Caenorhabditis elegans: one gene and its partner. The protein of the gene in region 1 purifies or fractionates together with the protein of each later gene. This does not show direct contact. Each region holds a gene or a part of one and is shown in the gene's direction. Other genes may lie near its edges.

Region 1 (8,073 bases):
TGCGAAAACAAGATCATGAGCTGAAAGTGATATATAATGAGCGTGATCAGACGAAAGCTGCAATTGATGAATTCGATAGAAAATTGTCAAATCTTCGATCTCAAGAATTGCAGAAAGAACGTCAGGCAAAAGATTTGAGAGCAGAATTGGCGCAAACTGCGAATGAAGATCAAGTGGAAAATCTGAATGAATCTATTGAGGAAATGCAGAAAAAGATTCCTTTAATCGAGGATGAAGTCAAAGATATTCTGAAAAATGTGGCAGACATCACTGCAGACATGGCTCCAGTTATTCAAGAGAGGAAAGAAGCGGAACATACGCTAGCGGAAATTCAAAAAGAAACACGAGATTTTGCAAGTAAATCCCAGAAACTTCAAAACGAATTGAGCAAGTATGACGACGCCGGAGAGATTCTCAAAATTCGTCTCGATAAAGTGAAAGCTGACGAAGGTGTATTCTTCCACACAGAGGCGAAACTCAAATCTGAAAGAGACGATGCGATGGAAATGGTGGAAAACGACAAAAAGAATCATCCAATGCCACCTGGCGAGACAGATCCACCAGATCTTTCAAGTTTCCCGTCGACGACTGAAGCTCAGAGAAAGATCGAAGAAATGCAGAAAGCAGTTGACAGAGCAACAGTTGGATGTGACACTACTATTACTCTTGAATGTGTTAAAGACTTTAAAGATAAACTGAAAAGGTTGAAGTATCTGTGTCGCATGATTGAAGATGTTCTCATCGAGCTTAAAAATCTTCATGCAGCCCGTGTAAAAGCATATCCGAGCTTGAAAAAGTTCACGGAATTGAAGGTGTGTAACAAGTTCCAGGAGTTGCTCGCAGTTCGAGGTCATTTTATCGGTGGTCTCGAATTCGATCACGAGAAGGAGACACTTAATGTGAATGTTCAATCTTCTAAAGAGAAGGATGCGATGGCTGGACGAAGACCTGAAGTCCTTGAGGTAGAAGAAGTCGACGAGCATTCGTATGATGATGATAGTGACGATAGTACCGGTCCGCGTAGAAAGAAGTCCAAGAAGAGCGGCCAGAAAAAGAAGAGAGTTCGTGATCTGAAAGGATTATCCGGAGGAGAACGGTCTTTTGTGACTGCCGCACTCGTCATGTCCTTGTGGGAAGTTATGGAGCAGCCATTCCGAATGATGGATGAGTTTGATGTCTTTATGGACATGATGAATAGAAAGGTGAGATCTTGTAGGACTCTTTCAGTATGAACATTAAATATTTTGTTATTTTTCAGCTGGTGATGGATTTGCTCGTCGAGCTGGCCACCAAGAAGTTCCCTCACAATCAGTTCATCTTCTTCACTCCACAAGGAATCAAGGAACTCAACATGGTCGATGGTCTTCAAGTTTTCGAGATGAACAGAGTCCGCGACTAGATATTGGCAATAAATTGTTGATAATTTGTAAACTAAAGATATCTTTCTCTCTTGTGCATCTCATTCCAAATGCTTTACAGTCCCCATATATTTTTTATCGGACCCTAACGATCTTTTTTATTGGTTTTAAAGCCCCCTGTCCTCCTAAATACCAACCCCATGACAAAATTAAATTCCAATCTCCTCCTGATACCATACTTTATTTTTTTACCCACTTTATTTTGAAGTCTTTAGTAAAATGAAAAGAATCATTTTAAATTTAAATTATTGAGCCATTTCTATCGAAACGAGTTAATATTCTCATTTCACTTTTGTTTTATCTTGTTCAATTTCTACAATAGGGGAATTGAAATTGGAAATCTTTCAGAATGTCTGGGACCGCTCAAGCCCAGTTGTTTGATAAGGGGCTCCGTGGGAGCACTTCTGAGCAACTGGCAACAATCTCGACGCTCAGCAGGCTTTTCGAAGAAAATCCAGCGCCAACATTTGTGAATGCGATGCTTCTTCGTGTAGCTGACGCTTTTAAAGATGGGTAAGAAAATAATTCTGAAAATTAAAAATTGGTTACAAAACGGCCGAATCTCGTGATGAGCCCTTCTAAAAATTTCTCCAAAAATAGCTTCTTCAGTTGCAAAGTTTCAGAAAAAAAGCATATTTCCAGCTAAAATCCCCAATTTTGTAAAATTGGCAAGTCTAGAAATCGCGTAAATTGTTTTCTTTTGGTCAAGTTGGCAAAAAATTTGTATTTTTTCCAAAACTTTTGACCGCGATAACATTACGAAATTCGTAGTTTTGGGCCATTCTAATATTTAATTTTAATATTTTCTAATCTTCTAGAAATCTGGACTTGCGCATCGCCATCGCTCGTGCTCTTGGACAATGTGGCTCACATCTCACACTGGCTTTTTCCTCTGCAGAAATATTCCGAAGAATTCTGACAGTTAGCCACTCAAACGATCCAAATGCTCGAGAAAATGTGTTGGATGTGCTCGCTGTGTTATCACCTTTACTCCCGGAATCCAATCAATCACATCATTTGATTCGAGAATCTCTATCCACAACTCATGAAGGAGAATTTCGAGCAACATGTAATGCTCTCAAAGCATTCGCATCAATATCCCATTCGTTCGCCGAATCGATTGTTCTTCAAATCGGAAAAATTCTTGAAGAAGATGATGCTTCAGAGCCACGGAAGATTCAACTATGCACAGCATTTTCTACAATGAGTGCGACAGCTCAAGTTGTGGAGCAAGTGTTCTCTGTTGCTGACACAATTCTTCACAGAACTATAACAGACGATTACTTTCACGCATTTCTGAAGTCTACGACGAGTTTGTGCATTGAGATTCGATATGCTATTTCGAAACAAGTATGTCGGTGTAGTGAGCATGGAGATTTTGCTTCATATAAAATAGTCTCAAAATCAGAAAAACCACAGAAGATATGGAAAATCGCGTTTTTAAATGTAAAATTCATCATTAATTAGCGATTTTTTTTCGATTTTCTTTTATGATTTTTCTGAATTTAAAACCCTTTGGTTGTTTTTGAAGCAACATTTTTCCATTGGCGCTGTTTTCTCCTCTTTAAATTGTCCTTCCATCTTCAGATCGACGTATTGCTCAATCTTCTCAGTCCATCCAACACCAGGACGAGTCGTCCATCCCGAAATCGAAGAATGATTATTGTGAGGCAGTTGAGACGGCTTGCAAATTTTCCGAATATTTGGAATGAGCAGCAAGTGCTGGTAATGAATTTTTTTGTGTTTTTAATGTGAAGAAAAGGATTTTGAAAATTTTCACGTTTCAAAACTTGTAAATTCATAAATTCATACGCAAATATATTTGAATTTTTATAAATTTAAATATTAAATTTCAAAAAAAAAATACTGCAAAACGCCACCGAAATGTTCAGATTTTTAAGCCAAAAATACGCATTTTGGCTAACACAAAAAATTTTGCGCCTTTAAAGATTACTGTAGTTACAAATCCTTCTTTTTGCGGAATTTCTTATCGATTTTTACATATTTTTTCAATAACAATATGCACTTATTTATTTGGATCTCAAAAATACAACATAAAAACTAATAGTTTTTATAAGTCGAAAAAAAAGAAAATTTGAAACTACAGTAATCCTTGAAGGTGCACACACCTTTCCACATTTAAAGAAAAAATGTCGTTTCGAGACCGGCTACCGTAATTTAAGCGAAAAATTTCGCGTCTGAATAATTCGAAACATTGAAAAAAATTTCAAGACGTTCGATTGAAAAAAAAATCGGTCGTTTTGGGCCAGTTTTAGTATCTGAACCAAGGCTGTTGCAAAAAAAAAAAATTCGACCAAAAAACGAAAAATCGAATTTCTTCAAAAAAAAAAGCTTTTTTCATCATACCAACTAAAACATAACATTAATGAGAAACAAGTCCGAAAGAAAAGGAATAAAATCAAAAAATCAATTTTTGCCAAAAACACCAAAAAAACAAAAAAAAATCCACGAAGTAAACAGCTAATTCCAGATATTCGTGGAATCCCTCCGACCATCAATGATCGATGAATCTCTAATGGACTTTTTCGATGCCACAACTTCACTTGTTAAGAACTGTCCGAAGGAAAATCTTCTCGCATTGAAAGGTCTCGTGATATCCAGCACTGGATATGGATCCCTGGCGAATCCAGAAGTCACCGTTCGATTCGTCTATTTCGCTTCACAAGTTGTGTGCTCACCGAGAACATTTGAAGATGACACTCCAGAGTTTATCAATTCAACGATGACCTCGCTGACAGTTGTTGTGATAAATACTTGCACTTGTGGAAGATTGAAAAATAGACTTGCTAATAAGGTACAAAAACTCTACCGTATTTTTTTTCCTTCTAAATTATTAAATTTTCAGCTATTCCGTGCAATTGGTGACATTCTCCTATCATTCCCGTACACTGATCATTCGTTTTCTTCAATGATAATCTCAGCTGTGTTCTCAGCATTTGAGTCCATTGTTTCAAATGATAATAATCAAAAAGAACGTCTAGAAATGTTATGTCGACTCGTGGACTCTGAGAAGCTCTACATTCCAGAAATTCATAAATGGGCATGCAAAGTTATGCAGGAACAAGTGAAACTATTCTCCGCATATCCAAGTCAATTCTCATATTTGTGCCTTGCTGTTGGAACGAGTCTCCCGAATGATTTTCCAAAAGTTTTCTACAAGGATTGTCAGGCTTCAATGTATGGTACCGCGAGGAGCGCATTCAGAAATGGACAGTGGAAGCATGTGGCGTCTCCAAATTTAGCAAGCATTGACTTGTCCAGTCTCCCAGAATTTGAAAGAAAATGGATCACAGCTCTTCGAGAAATCGCAGATTCTCAATTGCTCGAAATAGAGCCTGATCAGCTTGAAAAGCAGCAGTCCCACCTGTCAAGTGCCTTGTCTGCACTGAAATCAGGCAAATCAAATACTAGATTTGGCAATGATCTTCGATTTCCAATTGGGATGGTCTCTGCGATGCTCTCAAGTTCATATGCACATTTCCATCTACTCTCTGTGATTCGTCCATTTATTTTCTCATTATCCGGTGCTCTTCAAACTAATTCGTTTTTCAATCCGGTCGTTGCGCAACGATTATTGGTGGCGGTTAGTGACTTTTTCTTTAAAAAAAAATTGACAAAAAAGGAGAACGAGTCTGGTTTTGCAAGCATGCGGCGCGGTTTGTTGCATGTCGATTTACGAGAGAATTTGTACTACACACGGACAAGTTGGAATTTTGGTTTGTTCTCGTTGTTTTAAATGAAATTTTGCTTGAAATTCTTGTTTTTAGACAATTTTGTCTAATTATTTTTGTATTTAATATTGAAAATGACGAATTTCTAACATATTAACAAGTTTTCAAAGACGATGTATTCATTGTTAAAATGCACAGAAAACGATTTTTTTTGTTGTCAGCAATGATTATATCGACTTTGACTTGAAACCTTGTAAATATGTTCGAAAATGGTAATTTTCAATATTAAGTACAAAAATAATAAGGAAAAATAGTCTAAAAACAAAAATTTCAGGGAAAATTGTGTTTAATACCACGAGAAAAAAGCGAAAATTCGCACTTGACCGTGTGTAGTACAATTTATCCCGTAAATCGACATGCAACAAACTGCGCCGCAGTCTTGCAAAACCACGCACCGCTTTTTATCTCTTTCTGAAAATTATTTTAATCCGAAAATGTGCCTTGCAAAATTCACTGCATGACAATACTGTTTAGAAAATAATTTCAAAAAATAAGTCCATTTGAAAACTAATAAAATAAAAATTCCAGCTCTCCTCATGCGAATTGTCTATAAATGAAGCTCTCAACGAATGGTCAGCTCTGTGCCGAGCGAGTTTTTGTGCTGATTCAACATCTTTCGATCTCATAACTCTCTACTATTTGCGGGTTTCGATTCTTCTCGTTGCGGTTAGAGTCGTTCTTAAAAAACAATCTTCAGAAACGTTGGTTTTTCTTTTATTTTTTTGTGAAAATAAATTTCGCTAATTTTACAGAATAATTCAAATTCCACCATTGACAACTGCCCGTACATGTTCATTGTTTCAAAGAGAGCGACTTCAGTGGATTATTGAGAAAATTCGACTTTTGAAATATGAAAATTCTCCCAATATTCATGTGAGAATACAATTTTCGGGAGAATTTTTTAAAAAAAATTAATTTCAGACTATCAAAACGCTACTATCCATTCTAAATCAATTGACCATTCTACCATACATGCTTCCGAGATTCTTCTTCCAGCAGTTTTATCACGTCGATTTCAAGGTAGCCGGAGAAAAAATCAAATTTATTAGAAAATTCCTAGAAGATACTGAAATTTCTCCGGAAATATGCAAATAACAAAAAAAAACGTAAAAAAGTTGATATTTTACCGAAAAATTAATTTTTTTAAAATAAAAATTGGAAAATTGAAAAAAAAGATTTCCTGCCAAATAACATTTTTTTATCAGAATAAATTTGTGCTCATTCCAGTACAATTTTTCAGCTAAAAATTAAATTTGAATCCGTTTCAATGAGAATCGTTAATTTAAAATTCAAAAAGGATCCTACAGTACTTCTTCGAAAACTAAAAAATTGCATATTTTCCTAAACTACAGTAACCCTACAGTACACCCACATCACCACGATTTAACACGATTAAACGATTTTTTCCGGCAAATCGGCAAGTTGCCGGGATTGAAAATTTTCGGCAATTGCAGCCCACCCCTGATTCAGAATATCAAAATTAAAAAATTGTTTTCGTAAACCATCATCAATTTGAATTTTAACAAGTTTTATTACTTTTTAAAATTACAAGTTAAAAATTACAAATTTTTTAATTCAAATTAATTCCACCAAAATTTTTCAGATTTCAACATCACCAGAAGCTGGAAAGGACAAGACAATAAACGTATTCAGTGGTGAGACAATCCCTGTCCGTGTAGATGGAGCCATCACATCAACACATCCATCGCCAATTCGATCCATCATTGTTTTTGCGGAAATCACACATCTGGCAAATCATGCGGTATAAGCCTTTCTCAACGAAAAGTCCATAAATTTTATAATTTTCAGCAAAATCAAATTCTGCAAGAGTTAGTTGAGCCGAGCGAGAACAACTACTTCACGGCGCAATTCCTGCTCAATTTTAAAACTGTAAAAATAACCACCAAATCAAAAAAAAAATTTTAATTTTCAGGCATGCGACGTCAAATTCCGAATCGAATTCATTGATCAAACATCACGAAAGCAGTGGAAAGCGTATAATGTGACGACACTTCACTTCACAGTTCGCGAGAAATATTCATCGGTCGGATTCGAGCTGAAACGAGTCGGACATCAATTTCCACCGGATCCCAGGAGGCACTTTCCGAAAGGATCGTTGTTTCATGCTGAGGCGTGAGCAGAGAAATAGAGCATATCGTGAATAATTTTGAATTTGAACCATTTTTCCTTCTTTTTTTATTTAAATCGACACAAAAATAATATTTATTTCGATTTTAAAAATAACTAGAAATTGTTGAAACTTTAATGAAATTAAGAGTGCCAATTAGCTTGATGAGGTAAAATTGTCTCACCACGATTAACAAACAGGGTGGTCTTCCGTTCCATGGGCCGAGCACACCGAGCACAACGACGACAGGAGGTGGTAGCATGGGCAACTGAAAAGTTTCAGATTCATCTAATGAAATTAAATTTGAATTCAAACAATACCTCCATCTAATGCTGCTCCAGAAATGCTCTTCATAGCGTTATCCTGTAAAACTGCAAACTTTCGATCGTATTTCTCATGAGCTTCTCGCCAGGCAGCTTCAACTCTAGGATCCGGTTGAACAATTATCGGACGGCTTTCAGTTTTGGTCAATGGGTACAACATTTTCGAATTTTCATGCAACTGATCTCTCAATTTATCATATTTTGCTCTTCGATTATCTCTCATCACCATATCATCATGAGCTTGACGAGCTTTAAATTCTTCCAGCATTCCAATTGATTGTCTGAAAAAATCTTATTTTTGGATCATTCGCAGCGCGGTTTTACTTCGTGGCCGTGAAATAAGAAGCCTCGGTCAAATCAGTGGCCGAGTTTTTCCTTTTCTCTAGGCCACGTAGCAAAAACCGTTCTGCGTGAAAAAGAAAACGAACTTGAAAGTCTGATTCCTTTCAACT
Region 2 (3,404 bases), on another chromosome or scaffold:
CATATAATACGTTTTATAAAACATTAAACGATAAATTTAAATTTCCCGAATTTTGAACTCGAAAAACTGAAAATCGAAAAAATTGTGAGGAAAAGAAATTTGTTGAAAAAAAAAACTGAAATTTGTTTTTTTTAATAGATTTTTCCAAAAAAAAAAAAAAAAAATTTTCCACACATTTCTAAAAAAAATCCCAAAAAAAATTCAAAAATTAGAAAAAAATCCAAAAAAATCAAAAATTATTTTTTCAAACTTCCAAAAATACTCGTAATCCCAAAAAAAAAAGTTTGAAACTTTACAAAAAATTAAAAAAAAACATTAAAACTTTTTTTTTTTTGATTCCAGAAAAATTTGGATATTCAAAAAAGCAAAAATTCATAAAACTAATTCCAAAAAATGGAAATTTATTTTTAAAAATAGAAACAAAAAATTCATATCCAAAAAAACAATAATTTTGGAATTTTTTTTTTATTTCCAAACATTTTTTCTTTAAAAAATCCCAAAAATTAATCCTAAAATATCCGAATTTCAGATTCTACCGAGCCATTGGTTACATGCGTCCTCTATCGATTTGGGCAATGCAATGGTCACTAAAAAAGCATTGTGGAATGAATACGAGTGAAGAAAAATTGCCGAATTTGGTGAAAAATGAAAAAGTTGTTCCGGAATCCGAAGCAGCAATTCAAGTACAGAAACAACGAATATTAGGGGATACAAGTGAAGATGGTTCGAGTTTAGGATATGTTAGTGATTATCATGATGAGAGGAGTATTCCAAAGATTGCTACACTACGATAATTGTACTTTTTAACTGATTTTTTTGGATATTTTCCCGATTTTTTGTATTTTACGTGGTCTTTTATTTTTCGAATTTTCGATTGTGCAATGACGTTTTTACAATGCAATACAAGTATTTTTTTGAAAAATTTTTTCTGATTTTTATATTTTCTGTTGTCCATTTAGGATATCAATTTATGCTATTTGCCTTTTTTTTTTTTTTTGGAAAAAAAATTTGAATTTCTTGAAAAAGTTAGCTAATTACGGTGTTTTTTAGGATGAGCTTTTTTTTTTGAAAAATTAAAAACATTTTTTGAATTTTTTCCTCAATTTTTTGAAAATGTTATAGTAATCACGGAAGCTTAAATTTAAAAAAAAACCATTTAGAATTTTTTTTTCACAATTTTGAAACTGATTTTTTTTTTTGAGAAAATTCGCATTTTTTCAACAAAAAAATTCTGAAAAATGTTGACAATCTGTATTTTTAAGCTAATTTTTAAAAGCTTAATAATTGGGAAAAAAATCAAAAAAATTCAATTTCATGTAATGTAAATTATGCATTGCAGGTGACTTTTTGAATGTAAAATTTGAAAAATTTGATTAAAAAAAGTTTTTTTTGAATATTTCGCTAAAGGAATACTTTCTAATTAACTAGATAAATATTTTAACTTTTAAAGCATTTTCTGGTAATTTTTTGGAATTTTCAAATATTACGAATTTTTGTCGAAGTTGAATTCTAGAAAATCTTTAAAAAAGTTTGAATTTTTTGAAAATTTTTTCGAAAAAAAAAAATTTAATTACTTTTTTGAAAAATAGAACAAATGTAACATTTATTATATAATATATAATAGTATATAATAATATAATAATATTTAATAATATATAAAATATATAATAATAATATATAATAGAACATTTATTGATTTTTTTTCGAAAATTTCAATTTTTTTTCTAATTTTTAAACTAAAAAAGCTAAAATTACGAATTTTCGGCATTTTTCAGAATTTATAAAAACCTCGAGAATTTGAAAAAATAACAAATTTTTTGTTTAAATGTGAAATTTCTTGTTTTTTTTTCTCTCCAAATCTGAAAAAAATCGAAAAAAAAGCTATCATTTCTCGAAATTTCAGATGCTCCGCCTTGCCACCCCACTGAGATCAGGCCTCCTCTCCTCAGCAATCAGGCGTCACTCGGCATGTTGTGGTGGAGAGCACAAAATGTCAGAAGCCGAGCTGAAAATGAGCAAGTTGCTCACTGAGGGAATTGATGGATGTACTCGTGTCGAGGTTCACGATGTTTCTAGTGAGTACGCTACAAACTACAATAGGCATACTACAGACTACAAAATATACACTACAAACTACAATAATCACACTACAAACTACAATAGACATACTATAAACTAGTATAATCAGACTAATATTTGTAGTTTGTAGTCTATACGTGGGGTATTCATTCATGATTTTTTTGTTCCGCTCACAAAATTAATGGTAGAAATAATGAAAAACAAGTTAGTTACTGTATACTATAAACTACAAACTACAAACTACGAAATATAAACTGCAAGCCAAACACTACAAACTATAAACTATACACTACAAACTATAAAATGTACACTATAAATTCCAAATTATACAACACTAACTACAAACCATACACTACAAACTACAAAATATATCCACAAACTACTATCTATACACTACAAACTACAAATTGTATACGACCAACTACAAGCTAAACACTACAAACTATAAAATGTACACTATAAATTCCAAACTATACAAAACTAACTACAAACTCCAAAATATACCCTACAAACTACAAACTATACACTACAAACTACAAGCTCCATATTACAGATGGCTGCGGATCAATGTTCGACGTGGTCGTTGAAGCCGCCGGTTTCAAGGGAAAATCGAAAGTTGCTCAACACAAACAGGTCACCTCCATTCTCCGGGAGCAGATTAAGGATATGCATGGGCTCACGATCAAGACAAAAGCCGCCTAGATACTAATTATCGATTTTTTTTGTCTAGTTATTGATTAGTTCAAAGGACATAATATCGTAAAGAATATTTTAAATTCGAACTTTTTGAATATTGTAGATCTCTTTTTTTGCAAAAAAATCGAAATTCGCGCGCGCTAATCAGGAGATCATTTACCAATGGATTCGATGCACATGAGATAAAATATTGGGAGAAAGGGGAAAATATCTGAAAAATGGGTTAGAAATGGCTGAAAATTACGAAAAATCGATAGTCGATGCACCATGACGCCAGTTTTTTTGCTGAATTTTGCGAAATATAGGCCTGAATTGTGTGAAGTCTTAAAAAGGGCGGACTAGAAGATAAGCCTGTAAATTTCGATCTGAACAAAAAATAGTCAGAATATAATAGTTCTAAGAATGTTTAATACTGTTTTTGTACAACATTATGTATTTAGTTTATCCATGTCTTTATACAATACAACTCTTATTTTATTTCATCACGAGTTTAATCGGTAATAAATCAAATCAATAGAATTATTTTATTAATAGAATAAAGGTATAGGATGTAACTGCCACTCACGCACACTGATCGATCTTATAAGGGTTTATTAAGTAAAAGGGAACAGACGAATTGCATCGTCGAA

The links.
Region 2: the proteins of ints-7 (region 1) and Y105E8A.11 fractionate together in Caenorhabditis elegans (co-fractionation; one large-scale study listed by BioGRID). This does not show direct contact.

Annotation. Positions count from the first base shown.
Region 1 is NC_003280.10:11,581,083-11,589,155, forward strand, and holds ints-7 (Integrator complex subunit 7), read left to right. Parts: upstream 1-1,766; 5' UTR 1,767-1,767; coding exon 1,768-1,931; intron 1,932-2,236; coding exon 2,237-2,768; intron 2,769-3,005; coding exon 3,006-3,143; intron 3,144-3,909; coding exon 3,910-4,233; intron 4,234-4,284; coding exon 4,285-5,022; intron 5,023-5,698; coding exon 5,699-5,871; intron 5,872-5,922; coding exon 5,923-6,043; intron 6,044-6,091; coding exon 6,092-6,190; intron 6,191-6,773; coding exon 6,774-6,932; intron 6,933-6,979; coding exon 6,980-7,060; intron 7,061-7,103; coding exon 7,104-7,307; 3' UTR 7,308-7,409; downstream 7,410-8,073. Other genes in the region: Structural maintenance of chromosomes protein 6 homolog smc-6, read left to right, coding at 1-1,202, 1,259-1,399; F07A11.1 (uncharacterized protein), read right to left, coding at 7,442-7,566, 7,619-7,902, 8,050-8,073.
Region 2 is NC_003279.8:14,430,890-14,434,293, forward strand, and holds Y105E8A.11 (BolA-like protein 3), read left to right. Parts: upstream 1-1,901; 5' UTR 1,902-1,903; coding exon 1,904-2,075; intron 2,076-2,632; coding exon 2,633-2,781; 3' UTR 2,782-2,861; downstream 2,862-3,404. Other genes in the region: hpo-13 (Non-lysosomal glucosylceramidase), read left to right, coding at 530-794.